Styela clava: one gene and its partners. The protein of the gene in region 1 purifies or fractionates together with the protein of each later gene. This does not show direct contact. Links are inferred from orthologs where the notes say so. Each region holds a gene or a part of one and is shown in the gene's direction. Other genes may lie near its edges.

Evidence for each region.
Region 2: the proteins of COP9 signalosome complex subunit 3-like (region 1) and DDB1- and CUL4-associated factor 11-like purify together in Homo sapiens (affinity purification with mass spectrometry; 3 studies listed by BioGRID and IntAct, counting the BioPlex papers as one, with this or other methods). This does not show direct contact. The link is inferred for Styela clava from reciprocal best matches to the Homo sapiens genes COPS3 and DCAF11.
Region 3: the proteins of COP9 signalosome complex subunit 3-like (region 1) and DDB1- and CUL4-associated factor 1-like purify together in Homo sapiens (affinity purification with mass spectrometry; 5 studies listed by BioGRID, with this or other methods). This does not show direct contact. The link is inferred for Styela clava from reciprocal best matches to the Homo sapiens genes COPS3 and DCAF1.

What each region holds. Positions count from the first base shown.
Region 1 is NC_135259.1:8,855,648-8,863,897, forward strand, and holds the start of COP9 signalosome complex subunit 3-like, read left to right. Parts: upstream 1-4,876; 5' UTR 4,877-5,097; coding exon 5,098-5,152; intron 5,153-6,014; coding exon 6,015-6,144; intron 6,145-6,682; coding exon 6,683-6,807; intron 6,808-6,893; coding exon 6,894-6,985; intron 6,986-7,636; coding exon 7,637-7,762; intron 7,763-8,250. UniProt on the Homo sapiens protein: Component of the COP9 signalosome complex (CSN), a complex involved in various cellular and developmental processes.
Region 2 is NC_135258.1:14,058,529-14,066,903, forward strand, and holds DDB1- and CUL4-associated factor 11-like, read left to right. Parts: upstream 1-5,187; 5' UTR 5,188-5,340; coding exon 5,341-6,969; 3' UTR 6,970-7,730; downstream 7,731-8,375. UniProt on the Homo sapiens protein: May function as a substrate receptor for CUL4-DDB1 E3 ubiquitin-protein ligase complex.
Region 3 is NC_135250.1:9,080,663-9,088,190, forward strand, and holds the start of DDB1- and CUL4-associated factor 1-like, read left to right. Parts: upstream 1-4,155; 5' UTR 4,156-4,178; intron 4,179-5,009; 5' UTR 5,010-5,029; coding exon 5,030-7,528. UniProt on the Homo sapiens protein: Acts both as a substrate recognition component of E3 ubiquitin-protein ligase complexes and as an atypical serine/threonine-protein kinase, playing key roles in various processes such as cell cycle, telomerase regulation and histone modification.

The sequences.
Region 1 (8,250 bases):
CATATCTTAACATAAAGTTAAAAAAACGTAAAATTACGCGCCCGCCCACGAAAAAAAAAATAAAAAATAATAATAGAAGAATACAAAAAACACGATTGAGAATCGGGCAATGCTTTAAAGAATCTGTGGACAACTTACACAAAATATAACAAAATTTAGGTAGATAAATTAAATTTAATAGACTTCTGACGACTTCTTCCGTCCAATTATGGTAATCACCAGAATTTACCCCACATATCATATATATATATGTATATATATATATATATACGAAGTTGATTTTAAATATTTGAATTCAGCACACTCTGGGTCTGGAATTCCTGATTGTATATTTCTAAATAAGTAAATAGCTGTAGGAAATATTTTGCTTCCTAAGACATAAAAAAATCACCAATAATTTATCAAATGTACAAACCAGATAAAAAAAAAGCATGCATGAAAGGCAGCATGAAGTTTTGAACATTGGAACTAAAGTGTAAATTTGCAAAAATCACTAAAAAAATCCAAGTTGATTCCGTAGATGTATTTCTTTGATAAGTTTTCTAACATTACTTTTAGTTCGCAAAATATTTTCCGAATCATACACGGAACAATGTATGTTTTACCCGATGGAATTTCAGTTCCGTTTTAGTTCTTTTTTGAGTTGTACACTTTTATATACATTTTAGCTTATTCAGATTCAATTATCATCAAACATCCTATAATGCTGAAATGCATACAAAATTCGAAGTAGATAAGTGTTTTCGCGCAATTCAAAGCCTTCTATATGACGCCATTATATTTTATGGCGTTATTATTAAAAGGCCTATAAATGGCTCAGCTCAGGGTCTTAAATCTCCTAAATCCGGTCCTGCGTCCGTGACAACCTCCGAGTCCGCATGATTGATCTGCGTTGATCTTGAGGTAGGCATACCATACGTCCCGCTTTAGGCGGGACTGTCCCGCTTTTTAGCATATTGTCCCGCCGTCCCGACAAGTCAGCCAAAAGTACCGCTTTGGCGAGCAGCCATCCACGTGAACATGTTCTCGTTACTGTTGTTGCTGTGTAGCGCAACTCTAGCCTACTTACTGAGGGTGAATGCGTTAATTTGTTTGTTTCTCGCTAACATTGTTAGCAAACGTATCACATGCAAAATCAATTCTAATTGGTCCTGTTCGGATGTTCACGTGAATGTAACATTGAACAACGTCTTTTTGAAGGTGTTATCTACAGAAAAGCTTGCATGGGTGAATAAGTAAATTCTCTATGCTTGAAAACGGCAAACTATTTCATATTCTTTATTCCTTTTGCTGTACATAAAAAGATCTAAATTCGGATCATTTGTATCGTTAGCGTATATATATTCATATTCCTTTTTATTTTTCGAACTGAACCCGATATTTAGACAGAGAATATGCGCATGAACTTTCGATGACAATATGGTCAATAAAGACAGCAGGGATGGCTTTAAATGTAGTTCTATGTAGTAAAATCGGAAATTGTAAAGTCACGGGATCACAGCTAGGGGGTCGTGTCTTTGGAGGCATCCCGCTTTAAAGTAACAATATATGGTAACCCCATCTTGAGGGGACACGAAATTTTGATAGATTTCATTTCGATTGATGTTTCTCCGAGCATACGCATTCTTTTCTTACCTTACCCCGTACCCACGCAACAATGACCAATCAGCAAGCTATCAACGGTGACGAAACAATTGGAATTTTAGCAGCCGAGCAGACTCCTTTTTCATTCATATATAATTTTAATAATAGCTGTGGACATTACCTCGTTTTTGTGGTTTCGCTAGTAATTTGTCAGTTTTTAGTTGTGTTTTTTAATTGGGTGCTCCCGAAGTATTCGTACCAACATGGCACACAGCCTGAACATGGTATGTGTACCAGGTTAGGGTTGTTCAGGTTGTGCGTCACCTCATATTTGAGGAGCTTCAATATAGTTGCAGCAGAAAAAAATGTGTGTAAAGGCGTGATTGACCTGGCTAAGGGTGCACGATCTAAGGACGTCTAAAATAAAATCTTTAGTCGTGCTGGCGTGTGTTTTTGTTATTACTTATCGATTTTAAGATCGGTACGTAGGTTGATAGGTAGTTGTATGTCTGTATGTCTGTGTGTTAGATGCGCACGATATCTCACGAAAGCGAGGTTGAATCTGCTCCAAATTTTGCATGTGCATTCATCATAGCTCGGATCAGAAGCCTATTAATTTTATGGAGTATGTCTTATAATTAGCGAGTAATTAATTAATTAGTGATGGGACACACGGTGTCACTATGAGGTAATACCACTGTTTTGGGGGATCCCCTAACCTCGATCGATAAGTCTTCGGTTTCTAACCGATATTCTAGTTTTTGTCTTGATATGTTTACTGTGGGGTTAGCAAATTGATCTGCCAAGAAGCAATACCATGGGACTCAGTAATCGGAAAGAATCGACTCAAACTCCTATTCAATAAATTGGTTAATAATATTTAACATTTCATTAAAGTTCTTGGCGACAAAATAATTCTTCATATAAACATAACTCATGAAAAAACTACTTTCTCACTGGCGTTTGTATTCATTAACAAAAAGTTAAAATCTCATCGGCACTCATAAATGATGGTTATGATTGTAAACGCTATATTAAACATGAGATACTATCTGCGTATTCTATTTCAGTACTATTAGAACGTACATGGCGGAATAAACCCCGCTGACTCCATCAGAGTACAAATAAGCACACAATAGCTGTGGCGACGAATTTTCATATATTATAGATTTTTGCAATCGAATTGAATTGGGGATCGGCAGATTCAAACAATATGTGCATATATTAATTATTGAAACAAGAAAAACTGGTTTCCTAATGTTGGAGAAATGTGCGCTGTTCGTTTTGCTGTTTTTTTGTTTTGTATACCCGTAAATTATACTAAATATCACGTCGTTGTAAAATGTAAGGTATCAAGCCTCGTTGGCTGCGCAGCTGTATCAATTTGATTTCAATTATGTACTTATTTATCTGTTTGTTCAGTTTGAGCGCAAAATTTATACACCACCCATGTGACATTTTAGTTTGGTTAGAATTTTTGACCTAGACCTAGAATTTTTGGTGTATTATGTGTCCGTGTTGGGTGATATCTCTCACAAATCTGAGCAACTATTGACTTGACACTTCCCATTATTCCCCGCCGTCCAAATACCCGAGAAACACCACACAGGTGTCTATCGAAAAGTTTTCTTAGTCGCCTTGCAAGCGTGATTGCTAGAGAGGGATATCTGGACTTCCTTTCATGATAGACACTCTCGAAATAAAATTGTCCGGAAATTTTCGAGACATTGCTTCAAATTGTATCGACTGTAGTAAACAAAGTTGTGATGCAGACGAACTGTCTATTTCAGAATGTTGTATTTAACCTCCTCCTTTAAACACGTCTTACGGTATCTATCTATCAGCGGCAATTAAATAGTAAACGTCACAATTTTGATTTTAAAACCAACCTGCATTAGCGATATCACAAACACGGTTGTGCTGTAGAATCACCACCAAAATGTGCATCTGCTATGTACCACAGGGTGGTCCAAACCCATGCCCACGGGCCACATGTGGCCCGCCGCTTCATTATCTGTGGCCCGCGTAGCTTTCGGAGACTAATCAAAAAATCGCATTTCGTGTCGCTTCGTCATAAAATTAACCAGAAAAATCCATTGACATTTGTTACATAACTAATGTCACTGAATAGACAAGTGTTGCGGCTGGCTGAGGCAACTACCGAAATTGAATGGCGTGTTTGGCAGACTAAATTGTTATCTGGCTTTTTTTCGTTTTGTCCGGAAAAATATGCTAACAATTCTGGCATCATTGAAAACTGAAAATTGAATGCGGATTCTATTTGATTAGCCTAATGACTAATTCTCAGGCTATGCCTGATAACTAAATATTGATGTTATGGCCTAACAATTTAATTCATGCCGGGTGTTTTCCGCAACCAACCTAAACAGTATTACAAAAAATGCTGCCTAAATATTGGAAAATTTAGTAATTACCCTTCTGTACCTTACATTTGGTAATCAATCAATGTGCAGGTATTTTGTAAACATAAGTTTGAAAATAAACCTGACGAATTTGAACAGATTTTTGACTGGATGTAGAGGTAAATACCACAATGCTTGCTTGATATGTCGACAAGTTGTGTCGGTGACAAAAGTATCGAAAGCACTTACATTTGCGGAAGCACTCTTTCCGTTACGAAGAGTTGAAATTCTACATTTTATGTTGATATAGAAAGACTATTGCAGGTTTTAGTAATTTTTTGGGTGGATTTTGCATGGGTTAGCCTGATAAATGACATATGACCAATGGGTTTGCACGATAAAAGTGTTTCATATTGCATTGTTTACCTATTTGTGGCACTATTGTGGCCCGCGAACAATGCAAAAACAATTTTGTGGCCCCCGTCGCCGACAAATATGGACCACCCGAATAATGGGTAGCTTGTCTGACCTGCTTTCCCACTTTTTTCGTTTCGATCATTTTATATTTTGCAATATAATTTCAATTTGTGCAAAATCCCATTATCTAAAAGAATGCTTCCATAATTGAAAATAGTAAATTCATGTAAATATTGTACATAGTTTAAATCGTGAGAGGCATTGATATATTGACACGAACCTGGTATTTTCATGCTTGTTTAATATAATTGGGTGGCAACTGACTCTGATGACCCCAAAAGGTCGTATCGTTGCCCCCCAGTCATATACCAAAAACTATTTTTTTGATATTTGTTTTATGTGTGCATGAATTGTTTTCTTGGTTTGACAAAATGAAATAAACTCTCTCTCTCTCACCTTGATCAGACCCTGATCTACCAGATTCTTTGCATTGCTGAGGTCAAAGGTCTTGCATATTCTAGTAATCTAGTTTATAACCACAGCGCAGCCGGGACTCGTTACGCTGCACTCTTACTTCTAAATTCGAAATATACGGGATCCCAGGACCACCGATTCCGGAACAAAAAAAACTGGACATACTGACATTGACATACAGACATAAGGATACGATAGTCTTCTTTTTCCCCATAAACTGCAGAGCTAACTCTGTAACTGAGGACTGGATTTTAGAAGGATGTCAGGAAATTTGGAAGAATTTGTCAACACCGTGCGGAACTTGTCATCGCAAGGTACGTTATTGGGTCTAGTATAGTTTAGTACCACATGTACTTCCAGTGGGCGTAGCATAACGATTTTTGCATATGTTATTTCTAACCCTCACCTGACTATGCCATCCAAAATTTACGTCACTACGACGTCACCATCACGTCATAGGGATTGCCAAAGTATAATTATGATCGCCCGAAATGGCATCTGCGCCGCCGATAAGAACTTGCTAAAGTAGGCAATCTCTCTCCTATCGTGATCGTTGCGACGAGAAAACGAGAGAAATAGCTTGCTCGATTTCGGGTTATCGTCTGCGCGTTTTGGACGACCATCCGCATACTTCGGTGGGCCTTATTACGCCACTGTGACGTCGGAATGACGTAGTTTTTCGGTGACGTAGTCAGGTGGGGGTTAGGATTGACATATGCAAAAATTGTTTAGCCAGGCCAAGTAGAAGTGGATGTGGTACTAAACTATACCAGACCCACGTTATTCAGGTATTGTACTGATTAGTATTGTATAAACTAGGCTACTTAAAATGGGTTTTTCAGTAATTCCTAAACTTACTGACTTATGGCTGTATGATATCTGGGTCCACGAAACTAGTCTTTTTCATTATTCTGCTAGCCTATTTCAGTATTTGGTGATTAGGGGAATTTCTGAATTAGACTCTTTCTATCTTGAATATCGAAAAAGTTTGAGACAGAAACATCTTTTTTTTATTTTGCATAAATAACAGGTCAAATTCTAAAGTTTCAAATATAGAAATACGCAATACGCTACTAAATCAACACCACATCTTGTTGCTCTTCGTTTCAGCATTTAGTATGCAGAATATCAAATAAGTCTTATATTTTTCTTTGCTTCAAATTGTTTCTTGTTCAGGCCAGTTGAGTCAACTATGCGATCATATGAACAAATCATGGAACCTCCTTGTTAAAAACATTTCACATCTTGATACTATGTTGGAAGCCTTAGATATACAAGAACATACATTAGGAGTATTGTACATCTTGTAAGTTCTATTTGGTATCGAAAAATTTAGCATTTATCCAGATGTTGCATTCTGCTCCATACTCGATTAATTCAAAAAAGATTATAAACTATTTATAAAATTTACCTTAAACATTTTAGAAAATTTTAACATTTTAGAAATATTTGTTAAATATACCAATAATTTGCAACACCTAACACTAATATTTGATGTGGCACATCATTTTACCCAAGTTTAAATATTACAAATCCTCATAACTGCATAAAGAAACTAATGGAAGTTTTTGAATAATTTAAACTAGTATCCACAGGATTCACATATTTATCCTGGGTTGGAGGCAATGAAATGGCTTATCCATACCATGAACCACAGTCTCTCATCCTGTTACAAGTCTATGTTGGGTATGGTATTAGTTAACCAGTTATTTGTTTCAGATGCATAGACTCAATCAATTCTTTAACCTATTGTATTTATGCTTGTCTAAATAGAATAAAACGTTGGTTAGTCGTCAATATGTTTGTGAGCTATTTACAATCACTAAATATATGTTTCATTTCAGATGTGTTAAAGTATCTACATTTCAATCATCCAGTAATCAAGAAGAATTTGAACAATTGCTTCTACAAGTTGATTTGTTTGTGAGTCAGTGTAATAAAGACCAAACAAGATATTCGATTGGAAACTGTATGTACAATATTGCTGAGACATATCATTTCAACTTATCTACGCATATCTACATGTATCTAGTAGAATCAATTTTTTTTTTTCAGTTGCCCAGATGTGTCACACTCTTACTAATGAGTTATGTCAAAGAAATATGGCAATTCGTGGAATCAAACTTATATCCAGAATTATAGAGCAGGTATGCTGATGCCTAATTAGTTCAGATTTTTTTTAATTCCTGTAGTTCTTTAATATTTATGTATACTGTTATTCTGTTATAGTAATTTATCACTATTAATTATAGTGTTGATTTAAACATGGTTTGATGTGCCAAAAAATGAATATATTATTTGATAATTACATATAAATTTTATATGGAATCTGTGTTGAATATCCAGAATACTATATTTGTGTTTTCTTTCTACTCCATGGCATGATTTTCCTCAGATTTTTCTATTTTGGAACCTTTACTACTTTACTTGCCAATTTCCCCATTTTGTCTACATTTAGTGTTTTAAAAAATCTTTGCTTGTGTCCTGTCAAAGTACCATGACTTCAACAGTAGATAAAACGACGCTACAAAAATGTGTGTAATGTGTACCAATATGGAAGTAACTAATTTTGTTCGCCTACTTCACATCAAGTTATGTAAAGGGACTGAAACCTATGGGCAGGGGGTATATTCACTTGACTAACACAGACAGTCTCCGAACTCATAATAGAACTAAAATAAGGGAAATCGAAATAAAATCATGACCTAACCCTAATCTGGTACACACACTATGGGAGTACCGATAAAACATACATATACTATAATATTGTATTTGCTAAGTAAATACATATTTAACAGGTTCAAGAACATCCATCTCAATTGACATCTGTGCATGCTGATCTATGTCAGTTGTGTTTAACTGCAAAATGCCTGAAACCTGCGGCAAAGTATCTTGACATTGAAGTTACAGATATTTCAAAAGAGGTAAGGAGTCTCCATTTACTGAGGGGGGGATATTTGCCGGAGGAAAATGAAAAGTTTGAATTTTTGTTGAATATATCTTAATTCTAAATAAACTATTCCAACCAGTGCTTTCGATTCTATTGGGTGTTTGTTGATAACATTTAGTTCTTTTTACATTTCATTTTCAGCCACTTTCTGTCATAGTACCTTGGGAGTTTTTTCCCAAGAATTTCAGTTATATGTAATTCACTATGTCATAGCTGTTATCCTGATCAAATTGACTTGCTCCCAGTCGATTGAACTACTTCCAGTCTTGTCTCAATTGCATTTGCTGACACATAATGCACTATCATAATTCTATATTACGTAGTTTCAGTAGCTCTTGGGCTTGGCATTTCAGAGGTACCCACTATTTTGCTCAGAGATAAGTCTCCTTACTATGTTTCTTGAGCAAATTTACTTAGGAAATGAACTTCCAAAATTTTGAAATTTTTTGTATTCGAGTTTAA
Region 2 (8,375 bases), on another chromosome or scaffold:
CTTCCAAACGTTGGAAACTTTCAACTTCAAGCACCAGCCTGCAAATTTTGTTGTAAAAGACCCACTGATTCAACCCCACACATCTTTCTTATCTGTTCAACATACATTAAAATTCATAACTCAATCGTCCAAAGTACGCAAATCATAACCGGAAAAACTTTGAGTATAGATCGCCAAGCTATCTTCGAAAACACATATGAGGGACAAAATAAGGTGGCGGTGTTGTGGTTGGGACACAAGACAAATTGTTCACAAACCATGCAAACACATTTCGATGTCGGTCAAACCACACTCATGTATGTGAATATCTTAATTATTAACATCACACTAACCATCACAAATTTGCATGCTCTAACTAAGTAGTCTTCAACCGGGTATACGGTATACCCAGTGGTGGGATTCAGCCGGTCCGCATCGGTTCTATAGAACCGTCCCACGAAATTTTATGAGATTAGCGAACCGGTTAGCATTACGGGAAAAACATAACTTTTTGTAACAGAACCGGCTGAAAAATATGTGATGGAACCGGCTGACAAAAAATTTGAATCCCACCACTGGGTATACCCAAGTGTATACCGGACAATAAGTTTGGTATACAGCTGATAAAGGGTATACGAAGGGTGTACAGCCTAAGTCATGGATTCCAAACTTTAATATAATAAATTAGAAAATATTCAAGCGGAGACAACAATACAAACGCAGCCCACATGAAATACAGAATACCATTTCAGCAAAGAACCGACGTGAGCACATTGTTACATCACATTATAGATAGGGTTGGTGATTCCAACTGCCTTGCACTTCGTTTGATATACGTTGCACATCATTCCCGTTGACGCTAAGGCCGTCAGTCAAATTCATAACTTACGGACACTGGCCTATTAGATTGCATGACTATATTGCAGTACAATATGTGCTTAAAATTGAATGTTTATTCAAGCCTCAAATAAACATTGGTATTTGTAAGGTATACAAAGTTCTTGAAAAATGTAAAAGGTATACCACGATTAATAAGGTTGGAGAACACTGCTCTAACTACACAGCATAACTTCGACCAAGGATAAAATCTTTGTATATACGCAGGACACAGCATATAGTAGCCTACTACAGCAAGTTAAAATGTAGGGGAGAATCCAAATATAACTCGACTGGTGACCTAATTACAATAATTGGTACAGGAGCTAAATTATACCGTCTACAACCCTCACAAAGAATCACACCACCCAAATAGAAAACAAAGATCATACATGTAGACAGTGGTGGGATTCTGCCGATTCGCACCGGTTCTATAGAACCGTCTCAGGGAATTTTGTTAGATCAGCGAACCGGTTAGCATTTCTGGTTACTGTCAATGTTCTGTTTGTAACTGAACCGGCTGAAAAATATGGCTTTTGTGAAGGAACCGGCTGAAAAAAAATTCGAATCCCATCACTGAAACCCAACATTGAAAAAAAGGAAACATGCGCATGCAGATGTCAGAATGTGAACAGCCATATGAAGAAAAATCTTATGCTATACATGCTATAGAACAAACTAAATGACGAACTAGAATGCAAACAGATGAAGAGAATTTAACTGCTTGTTCAAAAATAAATTAGCAATCTCAGGTACAATAACAATATTATGACTGTTCAACATTCTCATGAAAATAATAAGTATGTGCAAGTGAGTACTGTCCCAACTTATGTCATGGTATTTCTTTGGAGGTTGTAGCTAATTACATACGAGAAATATATATCAGTGTGGTTTTGAAATATTACCTTTTGATATTTGAATACCAAGTAGAACTCGACAATTTCTTCTGAAAGGATTTTTTGGATTTCAATGTTTTCAAATTCAAGGGAAGAGAATTCCACAGCTTGGGCCCAGTATAACACAGATGTACTCATAAAAGGTATGAACAAATTGGAACTACTTCTTCGATTGGAAGTAATTTTAGTTAGTATGTCGTCGAAGCAGTTGGGCAAGGAATTGTTATGAAAATCATAGACTAATGATAATACTTCAAATTTCATTATATCTTCAGCTTTATAGAAATGGTTTACACTTTCACGTTTACTTTTCCTAATATTAATTCTTAAAGAACTATTACAAATACCTAGCAATTTTAAGACAAGTGTTTTATTACCATGGAGCCAGCAATATCGGATGTGACTGAGTAGTAGTGACTGAAACATTGCTAATAAAGCTGATTGAATAACACACTGGGATACTTTGGCAGCAACTGCCAAGTCTCTTTTTGTTTTACCAATAACATGCAATATTTGTGATTTCCAAGACAGATTTTCATCAAAGATAACTCCTAGAAATTTTATTTCTTTCAGTCTTTCAATTTCATTGCCATTGAGCAGCAGTGGTTTTGTACAACTCACACACTATGCTTGCTTGGATGGAATAATACAAATTTAGTCTTGTTAGCATTAAAAGATAATATATTAACTAACTATGTGCTATGCCATGCGTAGCATACGCGGAAGCCCTGGGTGGAAGTAATGTGGTGTCTTACATCTCGTATACGGGAGCCCTACATGTATGAATGTCTACCCGGAAACATGTTTAAGAAGCTTATTATCGATACGACTCGGATATGGCGTGTCAATGTAGCACTGATCCGAGACAGATCGTACTCTGTTTCGTAGTTAAAAAAAAATTTGGAGACGTCCGAAGTTTACAATAATATAGAAGTTAAATTTGTGGATTCATCACGTTCACATTGGCGCATTCGTCACATTCACATTGGCCGGGAAATAAACTACTGATTACCAGCGACATGTCGCGGAAAGATAAAATATATTCTCGAAAACATGACCATCCTCTGTTCAATCCTGTTTGCACCAAAGTGTCTATAACTGGTTTGCACGGGGGTTAAATCGTCGCAAAAGTGATCGCACCGCTCCCAATGGATATGTATCGTCTGTGTTTCTATAAACATGGGATAGTGCGTTCTAATGGAATGACAATGGAACAATTCAATCGCTTCGCGAGCAGCTTCTACCTACACTCTAAAGCAGGGGTACGCAAATAGTGCCTTACGACCATTGACCCACATTTGGGTCACGAGACCTTTCACTCTGGGTCGCAACACGTTAATCTTGCCATAAATATTAGGCATCGCGTCTGTGTACTGTGTTTTTTGAACTACAGGTACAACTTTATAAACCTCTAATTATAATTATCATGTATAGTTGTTTGCATACTCATTAGCCTACTACTGTACCGCCTACCGGTACGTAGTCAATTGCATTGTTTCGTAGCAATGCCAGGTTAGGAGCAGCTGTGTGGAACTGCTTGATAATTAGAGTTTTGTTTTCTATCAACTCTGAGGAGCAGTCAGTTTTAAAACGGGGCTTGTTTCAAATCAAATTTTTTTCGTTATTTTTCATTGAAATACCTCTTGCCCCATGTTTTATACAATTTCAGAATTTGTGCAAGAAAATTGCTACTTTCAATAATAATATTAACATTGATATTCAGTTACAAAGTATTTAAAAAAAATTATATGCTCAACAAGGCTGACGGACAACTCGACTACACGGACAACTCACCAGAGACAACTCGACTACCTAGACCTAAAACACCACCGTAGAAAATGCCAAAAGACGGCCAACTCACAAGGCCTCTAGTTAGTCGAGTTGTCCGTGTAGTCGAGTTGTCCGCCTCTCCTCAACAAATGCTTGGTTCGCGAGAAATTAAAATATTATTTTTAGGGTCGCGCCAAAATTTAATTGCGGACCTCTGCTCTACAGGACTGCAATGCAGTGTCTGTACTTTATTCTAATTTTACGTAACACGAGCAAACATTACACACAGCTGTAGGGAGTCTGGAGAACAACTGAAATACGGTACTGGTACCTACTGTATCTATCATTTGTAGCCGAAATTACTGGATTGACGAATCTTGCGTCCCATTATTTATCCCTGTAAGTAGGACAGGATTTACATATTTATCTCGGAGGAGAGGAAATCCGATAAGACTTCTTAAGCATATGGCGAACCACGGCCTCTCGTCCGGTTACCAGTTCATGTCCAGATGTCTGCATGTCAGTGGTTAAGGGGATCACTTACCACCACCCTACTACCTGACGGGTCTAGTATAGTTTAGTACCACAGGTACTTCCAGTGGGCGTAGCATAACGAATTTTGCATATGTTATTCCTAACCCCCACCTGCAGACCTGACTATGCCATCCAAAAATTACGTCACTATGAGTCTATGACGTCGCCATCACGTCATAGCCTATGACTCATAGGTCTTGCCAATGACATCTGCGCCGCCAATAACGAACTCGCTAAAGCCAGAGAGATCGCTTGCTCGATTTCGGGTGCTCGTCTGCGCATTTTGGATGACCATTCTCATACTTTGGTGGGCATTATTACACCACTGTGACGTCGAAATGACGTAATTTTTGGGTGACGTAGTCAGGTGAGGGTTAGGATTGACATATGCAAAAATTGTTGAGCCAGGCCAACTAGAAGTGCATGTGGTACTAAACTATACCGGTACCAGACCCTACCTGCAGACCTGACTACAGTGAGGAGGAGTCCAGCAATTCTCTCGCACATAATTATCTCCCATGGGTTTCAAATCCAAGCAGGGTAATCAGAGGTGTGGTGGCGAGCGTATTCCTATAGCGCCACACTGTAAGTACTTCTTTTAGTTCTGTAATCTTAAATAAATTGTTGAGATTCATTGTCATACAGATCAAAAAGTTCTTTATATAATCATGTTGGCATATCTTCCTCATTTTTCAGTTCTTGCATGTATTTTCCACATTTAAGTGTTTCCTTATTGCAGACTCTATCATCGAGTAGATAAGTTTGGGAAAATTCTTTAAATATATAAAGTTTTGAAACTATCAAAAATGTAATGCTAATACTCGTATTTTGTATAGGCTATTGACCAAGTGTTTAGCTCAAATTTCACTTGGATACCAGACTTCAGGATTAATGCTTTTTTGTATGTCCCTGCGGCTTTCAGTGGTGTTGCAAGTGTATCAAAACTTGATATAAAAGACAAAGCTTAGATACATTACATACTGCATTAAAATTACTCCATTCTGCCATTAGTAACTTTCATAGTATTGTGGTTTTACTGCATATAATACAGTAATATCAGAATATAGGCATTTCCAGTCACTTGATTTCTAGTTTGTATCATATTATTATGGTTTATTTCTCATACAGTATCATAGGTTATGAATATTATGATTAATTAATTGTAATGCTACCAAGTACCAAGTGACATTTTTTGGTTATGTTGAATGACATAGCGACTTTTAATGTGATATTTTGAAAAAGTCAGAAAACCAAAATTGGTAACTCACGAAGTTCAAACCGTAACATGGAAGAGGAGGAAGAGATTGAGGAGGAAGTCCAGTACGAAAGTTTATATGATGATAATGATGAACCTGACCTTTCTGTAGTCCTTGCGTTACTATTACGCAGTGGCCAAGTTCGTCTCAGTCAAGGTGTTATAAATCGATTTGGTGAAGGCTCTGATGAAGATGACGAAGACGCCAGTGAAAATCAAGCAGGTTTAGAAGAGCCTGACACTATTAAAGAAAGCGATTTAACACAAGATGTCCTTCTTCATACTGGAAGACTAGCAAACACTAAAGCAAATTCCAAAGAAAGTATTGTAAAATCAGTTTGGAAACGAGAACTTAGTTGTTGTGGGGCCAAGAGAAAAAATGTTTTCACTGCTGGTTGCCAAACTGCTATTTGTTCACATCAAATTCCCAATACAGTTGTTAACTCGGTATCTCTAAGAGAAAAGGTTTTTTGTGGTATCTATTCTGAAGATGGAAACACTTTCCTATCAGCTTGTCAAGATAGTCATTTAAGAGTGTATGATGCAAATAGATTTGATGATGTATCGCAAACTTGTAAGCCATTTAAGAATATACCTGCACTTGATATAGGGTGGAGCATTCTTGATGTAGCTTTCAGTCCTGATGCACTTTACCTTGCTTATACTACATGGTCCAGTGTTCTGCATATTGCATCAATATATGATAACGAAGATGTAAATTTATCCTCCCACCACGCAATGGACCTAAGACCAGAGAATTATAACTTTGCTGCATTTTCATTGCAGTTTTCTGCCGACAATAATGAAGTACTATGTGGTGGAAATGATGGCCATTTGTATATATATGATCGTAATAGAAATTCTAGAACTTCTCGAATATATGCTCATGAAGATGATATTAATGCAATCCGTTTTGCGGATAAAGGATCCCAGATATTGTATTCTGGGGGAGATGATGGACTTGTTAATGTTTGGGATAGGAGGATGTTGCATGAGAATAGTCCACAAAAAGTTGGCTCATTTGCTGGCCATGTGGATGGGATTACCTTCATTGATTCAAAAGACGATTCAAGATATCTGCTTTCAAACAGTAAAGATCAGACTATAAAAGTTTGGGACGTTAGGAAGTTTTCATCAGCAGGTGCCCAGGAAGCAGTCAAAGTGGCGGTTGCGCGACAAGCCTGGGATTATCGCTGGCAACAGGTTCCACGGCGGCAGCGTAACAGAAAAAAGACTGTAGCTGGGGATACTTCAATAAAAACATATCATGGACATGAAGTCACAAATACTCTTATTAGAGCTAGGTTTTCTCCTATGCATACAACAGGTCAAAGGTATATTTACACTGGGTGTTCAAAAGGAAATGTCGTCATTTATGACATTTTAACAGGAGAGATTGTATCAAAAATAAAGAGACATAAGCACTGTGTGAGAGATGTGTCATGGCATCCTTATGAACCAAAATTGGTATCAACTTCATGGGATGGGACTTTTAGTGTATGGAGTCATGAAACAGAAGCGGGTGATGTTGAAATGGACATATCAAAACCAAGCAGAAAACGTCGCTTGGGTGGCAAAGATTGTGATGAAGAAGATGGTCATTCCTATGGATTGAGAAGAAGTCCACGCTTGGCAAGAGCTAACTATACAAGTACTTGAGCAGCTTATTTAGAGAAATAGTTATGCAACTAACTATGTTCCAGTCTCCTGTGGTACGAACTGTTGAGATTTTGTGAAAAAGAAACGAAAGCTCAATTCAACTGATTTTATTAAAAAGAAAATTTTTCACTTTCACAGGTAATTCCAATTCATTTAGGGATATTCTTAACCAAATCGAGATCTGCTTACTGGGAATGGTAAAGTGGTATATATTATTCGAACCAAATTTGAAATTCCCAGATATTATTCTCTCATTTCTCTGTTATATCTTGCATGTAGTAAAATTACCATTTGAATATGCCCATGGTAGATAACTACGGGTAAGTTTTAATGTGTGTCTATTTTGCAGACAAAATTTGGTTACTTCAAAAATAGAATAGTTCTGGATTTCACAACTAATTAGGAGAGCAAAATGTTTGGAATGTTCTGTTTCTTGATATTATTCTTCATATTATCAAAATCATTCTTCAGAATATGCACCATAAGTCATTCTCTTTATAGAATCTCTAATCCTATCAACAATTAGGGTAATACAGAATGTGCCATTTCAGTCGGAACCTCTTAATTTGGGACCTTTCTCTTAAAATTTCATTCTTACATTTTTAATAATTATCATTTATACATAATTGCACTTATATTCAAATGTTGTAGTACTTTTTGGTGATTCACTTTCGCAAAGCAATAACTGGAGAGGACCAACTCCAAACCAGTGTTGTTCTATAATATTTTGAGTGGACTGAAGATACCATATGGCCTTGAAAGCCAATGCTATTTAGTCTTTACCAGGGGTGTGTAACCTTTAATACAGGAGGGGGCCAGATACAAACTGGCCGCGCACCTTTATTTAACATAGACTTTCTAGTAGTCGTAGGCACGAAAGAGCACTGTAACATGCGTCATAGACATGTCTAATAAATAGGACTCTGGTACAGACTTTGCAAAGAAAAAAGATTGCAATTACTCGAGAGTACCAGATTAATCGTTTCCCTGGGGCCGCAGGTTGCACACCCCTGCTCTGTACTATTAGTTGAAGTCCTGAGGTTACCATTTATTTTTAGTTCAAGTGAGCTATTGAACTCAATATAAGCTCATGTATCATATGCATGATCAGCATTCATATTACTGCCTTGGTAAAGAAATTTATTGGCCCGGTGTTTTCTTTCTGTGGAGGAGCAAAGACTGTAAATAAAAGTCTTATCATAAAACTTCTATAAAAAGGTGTAGTTGCCGGTTATTTGATAGCCTCTAGATCAGTGGTTCTTAAACTGGGTTCGATCGAACCCCTGGGGTTCGGTGGAGCTGTTCCAGGGGTTCGACGAAGGTGCTCTGAAACAGTCGCGTATTATGGGACTTTTTTATCACCATGCATACTAATTATGCAAAAATAACTATAGTTCATGATGACT
Region 3 (7,528 bases), on another chromosome or scaffold:
TTGATCTCATTTGTATCCACCTATGATGAACTTATATATAGCACATACACAAGGGTCGGGAGCCTAGATGACTTTAATCGGTCTTGCACACCGACCCGCACAAAGCAATAATCAATTACTGTGGAATATTTTCGTTATTGTATTATGTTTATAATTATTAGTGTTGATTTTGTTTTTGTGGCAATAAATCTCTCTCTCTCTCTCTCTCTCTATACATTAGGCACAGCAGCAGCTCGCAAACTTCTTGTTCGTGCGGCGCCAAATTATCAGCGAAAAAACTTACTACGCACTCACACGAAAATAAAAAGCTGCTTTCAAATAAAACTCAAATTTGGAGTGGGAGTGGTGACTCTTCTACGGCCCATGGGCCGGGGCCACGGTCCATCGAAATGGGCCTCGGCCCATCAGGCTATTGGCCGCGGCCCATCAAGTTGTGTAATGGGATGAAATAATAAAGACTAATAAATATGTAAATCCTACCTAAATCCTACCCACTTCCCGAACTTATAATAGAATTATAATGTGAAAAGTTTGAACAAAATTTTGTCCTAAGTTCCTAACCCTAACCTGGTACACATACTTCAGGTGTATCCTTTTCTGTAGCTTAGTATTTTGCTTTATTTTTGGACACGTAGTGGACATAGCGATCGTTTCAATATTGTGTTGTTGTTGTTCTCATTGTTGTTCTTAGTGTCCTTGTTCTTTGACACGTTTTGAAAAAATCGCTTTTCTCTTCGAATACTGGACCAATTGCTTTGAAATTTTTAGTGGTTGAAGATAAAATTTTTCTCCAGAAGGCCGACTTCTTTTTTTTTCGTTATGACCTCATCAAAATTATTCCCACTGGGTGGCGCTATGTGTCCATATAGAGCATAGCTCTCTTGTTATGTAAAGGCTTATCGTAAGAAAAAGGTTTGGTGGCATCCCGCGATTTTTTTTTTGGTTCGAATATTGACAATTTTGTAAGAATTGAAAATTTTGGTAAGACAATTGAATTTTTTCTGATGAGCCGCGGCCCATAGCTTGATGGGCCACGGCCCATGTGGCCCAATTAGATAGGCCGTGGCCCCGGCCCATGGACCTCAGAGGAGTCACCACCCCTGTAGCAAATTTGTGATCGTCAATGTGTAAAGTACTTTTGTGTAAAGTTTGTAAATATGTGGGCCTAACAAAGAATAAGGGCAAAAGGTCAACTCTCTTTCTCATGTCTGCCCGATTTTCATTTGAAATACTAAAAATATCACTCATGTCAAAAAAAATTCGAATACAAAATATAAAATATCTATAATAAATACAATATGTAATATCGTCAGTCCTATATTGTTTTTTCTTCAGGTGAAATTTGCAAATCGGCGCCCACTGAAGTTCAGTATCAAAAACACTCTATTGCAGTTTTAAGTAGAATAATCACCACTAAAATAATTTTAGAACAAAAAAAAAACCTCAGTTTTAACCCTTAACCCAGCGGTTTTCAAAGAGTGCGCCGCGACGATTTGCTAAGTGCGCCCGAAAATTAACAAAATTGTGTTAAACCGTAAATATAAACCGTAAATATATAAACCGGTTGAAGCGTAAATTAATACTACTACGGTTAAACATACCAAAGCAATTTTTATTTCTGTTACATTTTTTTCTTATTGATGACTGTTCGTATTTTGGTTGACAAAATAATGAATATCTCTCTCTCTCTTCTATACGGAATCAGGTTCTGTGGATTTGACCCCCGAAAAGTGATTTCGGGGCTATTTCAAGAGTGCTTTTGCGAGTTGGCGCCTGCAAAATGGGGTATGTGTTTCAAACCATCATTATGATTCATCGCATACAACAATCTGTTTTTTAAAAGTAGCGATTAAGAATTTTAACCTAGTTTATCACAGCTATTTATACACTAATTTTTTATTACTGCAATTAATTTAAAACTTCTAGGAAGATAGGGTAATCATTGAATTATCTGATTTATATTTTAAGTTTTCGAAACACACTGAAAACTAATGAATAGCGTTCAAAAACGCGAAAACGAGGTAATGTTTACGACCACGCTTGAAAATCTGTCTGAGTGAGAAAAGTGTCTGAGCGGATGCGAAAAGGGAGAATTGTTACGTCACTTTTTGCATCTTGCTGATTTGCCAATGTCACGAAGTAAACAAGGAGGTCGATGCTCGGGGAAAGATATAAAGTGCACATTAACGATCACAACTATTAGTTTTATTTAAACGCAGCAATTTTTTTTCATGTACCGTGTTTCCCCAAAAATAAGACTAGGTCTTTTTCAACTTTCTTCCAAAAATAACACTCAGGCTTATTTTCGAGGAGTGTCTTTTATTTTCATTTATCAAAAACAAAATTACAAAATAAAGAATTACGAGATTTTCAAATATACATAATATGGAAACCGATATCCATTCACTTATAAATAAAAATCAAAATAATAATCAAAAAATTATTTAAAAATATTAATTCGCGTTATTGACTTTCCAGGGTAGGTAAGACTTTCTTATTTTCAGGGTAGGTCTTATTTTCGGAGAAACACGGTAGGTGCGCCGAGAATTTTTTTCTGATAATTTGGCGCCGCACGAACAAAAAGTTTGCGAACCGCTGCTTTAGTCCTTTCGCCGCCATTGCATGGCGAATTAGCCCACTTAGGATAGGATTTACATATTTATCCCGGGGGAGAGGAAAGCCGATAAGACGGCTTATCCATATGGCGAACCACGGCCTCTCGTCCGGTTACCATTCCAAGTCGGGTATGGGATTAGTTTTACTGTATTGTTTGTTTTCGGAAGCATGGACTTGGTGGTGGAGGAAGCCGTAACCGACCAGCGGTTACGTGAACCACCCAACGACGGCGAGGAGTCCAGCAATCCTCTCGCACATAACCATCCCTGCATGGGATTCGAACCTGCGAACCCACGCAGAGTAATTAGAGGTGCGGTGGCGAGCGTATTCCTAACGCTTAGCCCGTTGAGCCACACCGCCGCGCCACCGCCGGCGCACTTCAACCACCTCATCTTGCGTCAAAAGAAATTTCATCCACTTTTACTTTTTAGTGACTTCAATCGGTCGGAAGAAATTTCACTTCTTTCTTTTAGGCCACAGTCTTTTGGGGACCTAGTCTTAAACCACTCCATCTTTGTCGGGAGAAATGTTATCAACTTCTTCAGTCCTTCAGTGTTTTGTAACTTTTCATCTTTGGGAACACTCTTTCCTCAGACCTTTTAGGTACAGTACAGTAATGGCGCACCAATCGCGGATGTCGAACACCAGAACAATCAACGATGAGGATAAGATTTACATATTTATCTCGGGACAGAGGAAAGCCGATTTGACGGCTCAACCATATGGCGATCCACGTCCTCTCGTCCGGTTACCATTCCATGTCAGGTATGGGACAAGTCAGGTATTTGTTTTTCCGAAGCATGGACTCGATGGTGGAGAAAGCCGTACCGGTAACCGACCGACGCTTAGCACGACAAGTGCAGTTTCAAGTATTTTGTGGCGTCTACAGCTGCCGCAAAACCATGGCGGGATTTCCAAACCACGGCCACTAAGACCAAACCCACGGCGACTGACTTTTTAGCTGCCACAAACCAATAGCGAGCTGCCGTGGTTACGGCAGCAAATCGAATACCACCAATTTTACTGCCGTAACCACGGCAGGTCGGCTGTAATAGCAGGGCTGCCCCTAATCTGCTGATGGAGATAAATATTTAGTGAGTTGGAATGTTTTTCTTATGGATACAGTTTGGATGGATTTGGGGTTAGGGTTAGGGTTTAAGTAGATATAATTTCGCATGATAAACTTAAATATGGTACATGAATTTGTAAATGTACCGGTAATAGCGCCATAAAACCATGGCAGGAGACGGCGTGGTACGTTCGTGGCAGGAGCTGCCATGAAGTGGTAAGAACTGCGCCTCTAGCACGATGAGCCACACATCGCTCACATCTCACTGTATCGCACCTGATCGCGTAAGCTGAGTTTTGAGTACTGTATTCGTGCCGTATGTATACTAGTAAGTAGTATGCCGGTATGCGTACAATTTTCGAATGTAAATTGATAGGAATCCTATATTTTTTTAAATCAAGGCAAGGAAATGAATTATTGTTATATGAGCACATGGCTGATCTGATACACGGTTAATCATAATGTAATTTCGCATGCAACGACAAAATAACAGGTATGATTAATATACTGCAATACTGTGACAGTGTGAGGGCTTTTGAAAATTATGAAAAAAAAAGTGTCAAGTAGGCTATTCTGAAAAGATCTTCATTGAATAAATTCACAGGATACGGTATATTGGCAAAAAACTTGGCGTTTTACTGTAAAAACAGGCAATTTTGCTTAAAATCATTCATAGTCTAGTAGTCTATGTATTTCTGTATTTGAAAAAAAATGATTTGGATATGATACCGGTATAATTTTAACATTGTTGTATAGCAGGGGTGAGCAAAGTTTTTTGCCCTGGGTAATAAAATCTGCACCTAGCTGCCTAGACCGGCAGCCATGTCTGCATGTACTGATGTAAGTGTGACGTACCGGTAAAAGTTACATTTTATGAACAATATTTACAGTGTTACAAAAGCGAAAGTGGAAAACAATAAGCCTCGTGTCATACTAAATTCAATTGCAATTTCAACAAATTCTTTGAGCTGACACATGAAAATTTGGTTTTAGTTTGGCTGTGGCAGCACCAGGCGGGCAAGATTGAGTTATCCAACATGCCAGATTTGGCCTGCTGGCCGTAGTTAGCCTATGTCAGTTGTATAGCCTGCTTATATTTATAAATTACATCTGGCCAATCTGTCAGTCAATCACTTCTACCTTTTTGTGGTATTCCTGTTACATCCTGCCTTTTCTTATTAAGTAGCAATACTTATACTGCAGGAAAAGAGCGTAAATGACCAATGCAACTGTATGAACTTAGAATCAGTATTATCATTGAATATTATGTGACCATAACTCATTTATAAATACATACATGCAGTCACATATATTTGATTTTCAGCATTATACTGATTATAAGTAATGGAAAATACTACTACTAGTGCTAGAGATGCTGAAAAGCAGTTTTCTGAATTAGTTGAAGCATGGAAGTCAAATCACGAATCAAGCGATTATGATCCAGTGCCATTTTTGACTGACTGCGCAAAACTTTTCGAAGAAGAGACAATAGAATTTCATAAGGGTGATCCTGACCCTTTTGATGAGCGTCATCCTGAATATGCACAACCTGGATGTGTTTTTGGAAAGTTACTTGTTTCTCTCTCAAAGTCGCATGATTTCATGGATAAACTTACATCATCTTACTTTCGTGTGACAACAAATCCAAAGAATCCATCTCAAATTACGTTAGCCTCTGCACGATTTCTCTTAGCCGCTTTACCTGGATTAGAGCCTCATACGTTATTCAAAGAAAAAGAATGGTTAATCAAACTCCTTTCTGAATGGGTAACAGACGCTGATGAGCCACTAAGGACATATGCAACAGGTTTGCTTGTTGGTGCCATAGAACCCCAGAAAACTTCTAATGATGAATATATAAGAATGATATCAATTTTGCTCAAAAGATTATGGAACCATGTTAGACCTGGTAAATTTCCAGAGTCAGAATGTGATGGATCTACTTTTAAAGTTGATTCTTCTATCGGAGTTAAGACTTCTTCACAATCTCGCTCACAAAAACGCAAGTTATCAAACAGCTCAGATGCCCCAAAACTAAAAAGAATATTCAGTGAAAAACCGCATACGAGCACACATTCCCCAGCACCGAATGGCGAAATGCATTTTACGAGCGATTACTACGACAATGACCTGAGTAACAGTAGCTGGTCTGAGCAAATGCCTGCGATGATAGGATGCAGTTACAGCCTTGAACCTCCTCTACATTCAGAAGTCTGCCAAAGATTTATTCTTGATTTTCTAAAATGTTTGGGAGAGTATCAGGATTTGTTATCAATTTTCCTTGAACTCAAAGCACTAGAATTAATTAATATTTACATAAAAGAAAAGAAATTTGATGGACTACTAATATTCAAAGCATTAGAGTTTTTGGCATCTCTTCTGTGTCACAATAAAGTAGCCACGGAATTCATTGAATTAAATGGAATACAGAATCTTTTATCCGTTCAAAGACCATCAATGGGTTCAACAGGTGTTTCCCTATGTATTTATTACTTAGCATACAAAAAAGATGCAATGGAAAGAGCTTGTCAGCTGCCTGCTCGTATTTTGAGTGATTTAGTGAAATATGCTCTTTGGTTGCTGGAATGCTCTCACGAAACTGGTCGATCTCATGCGGCATTGTTCTTCTCATTTTCTTTCTCATTCCGAGTGATTTTACAGCTTTTTGATAAGATGAGTGGATTACGTTGCCTTATGAATATGATAAGTATGTCAAAAATTATTATTAATGTACTAGATGATAACTATGATCCTGATGAAGACGCCAATAGACTTTTCATGCGCCAAACAACAAGAACAGTTTGTGCAGCACTTAAAAAATACTTTGAAGCTCATTTGCAGATTAAAGTTTGCTCGGCTCAAAAATCGATTCCAAAATCCAAAGAAAGACACACCATTGTGGAATCTGTATCAAAATATAAACCAATGGTTTCCAGTCGCGAACAATTCTTTGAAAATCTTGAAGTTCTCGGTGAAATCTCAGTTACTGATGCCAGCTTTCGATCTATGAGTAACTGGCTACCTGTTCTCAATTTTTATCGATTAGATGGAATTGCATTGATGGTGAAAGTGATTGATATTGCATGTGATTGGGTGACTTACACAGGCCAAATAGAAGTTATACGTTCAGCTTTGGATGTACTTGCCGTGGTAACTCTCTTGCCATCACCGCAATTGACTTTGTGTAAACATCACACTCTCAATAAAAAATTTACCGGTATTAGTATAATGTTGGATATAGCAAAAGGGGGAACTCTGTTCGCAGTTGAAGGTGAAACACAAAAGTCAGCTCTTGCTGTAATTGTGAATTGTGTGAGGGATTATGCAACTGATCATCGTAAATCAACACCTGGGCCACAAGATACACCACGTTCCAAATCTTCACAATCTAAAACAGAAAAGAGGGAAATGGTGTGGAAATATGTTCAATATAATAATGGTATTTCTGTTCTTCTCTCATTACTAGTCATAAATCAACCTGCTTTGCATGCAGATGAAGTGAGATATTTTGCATGCAAAGCGCTATTGGGATTATCAAATTATAAACCAATTGCTCAAATTATGTCAAAATTGCCATTTTTTATTGGTGGACAAGTACAATCTGTTGCTAGAGAACCAGTTCTTCACTACAAAAAACGATTGCATACAAAATTTTGCAAATGTATGGGAGCCCTTTTAGAAAAAGTTTCTGGTAGGCCAATGAATTTGGAGTTGGATTTAGATGCAATTCGTATATCACACATTGTTTCTGAAACGCACATGCAATATGAAAATAAAGAAGTTCTTCAAATGATTCATAATCATCTAGTTTGGTCAAAGCTGCATAATGCAGCAGAAATTCTT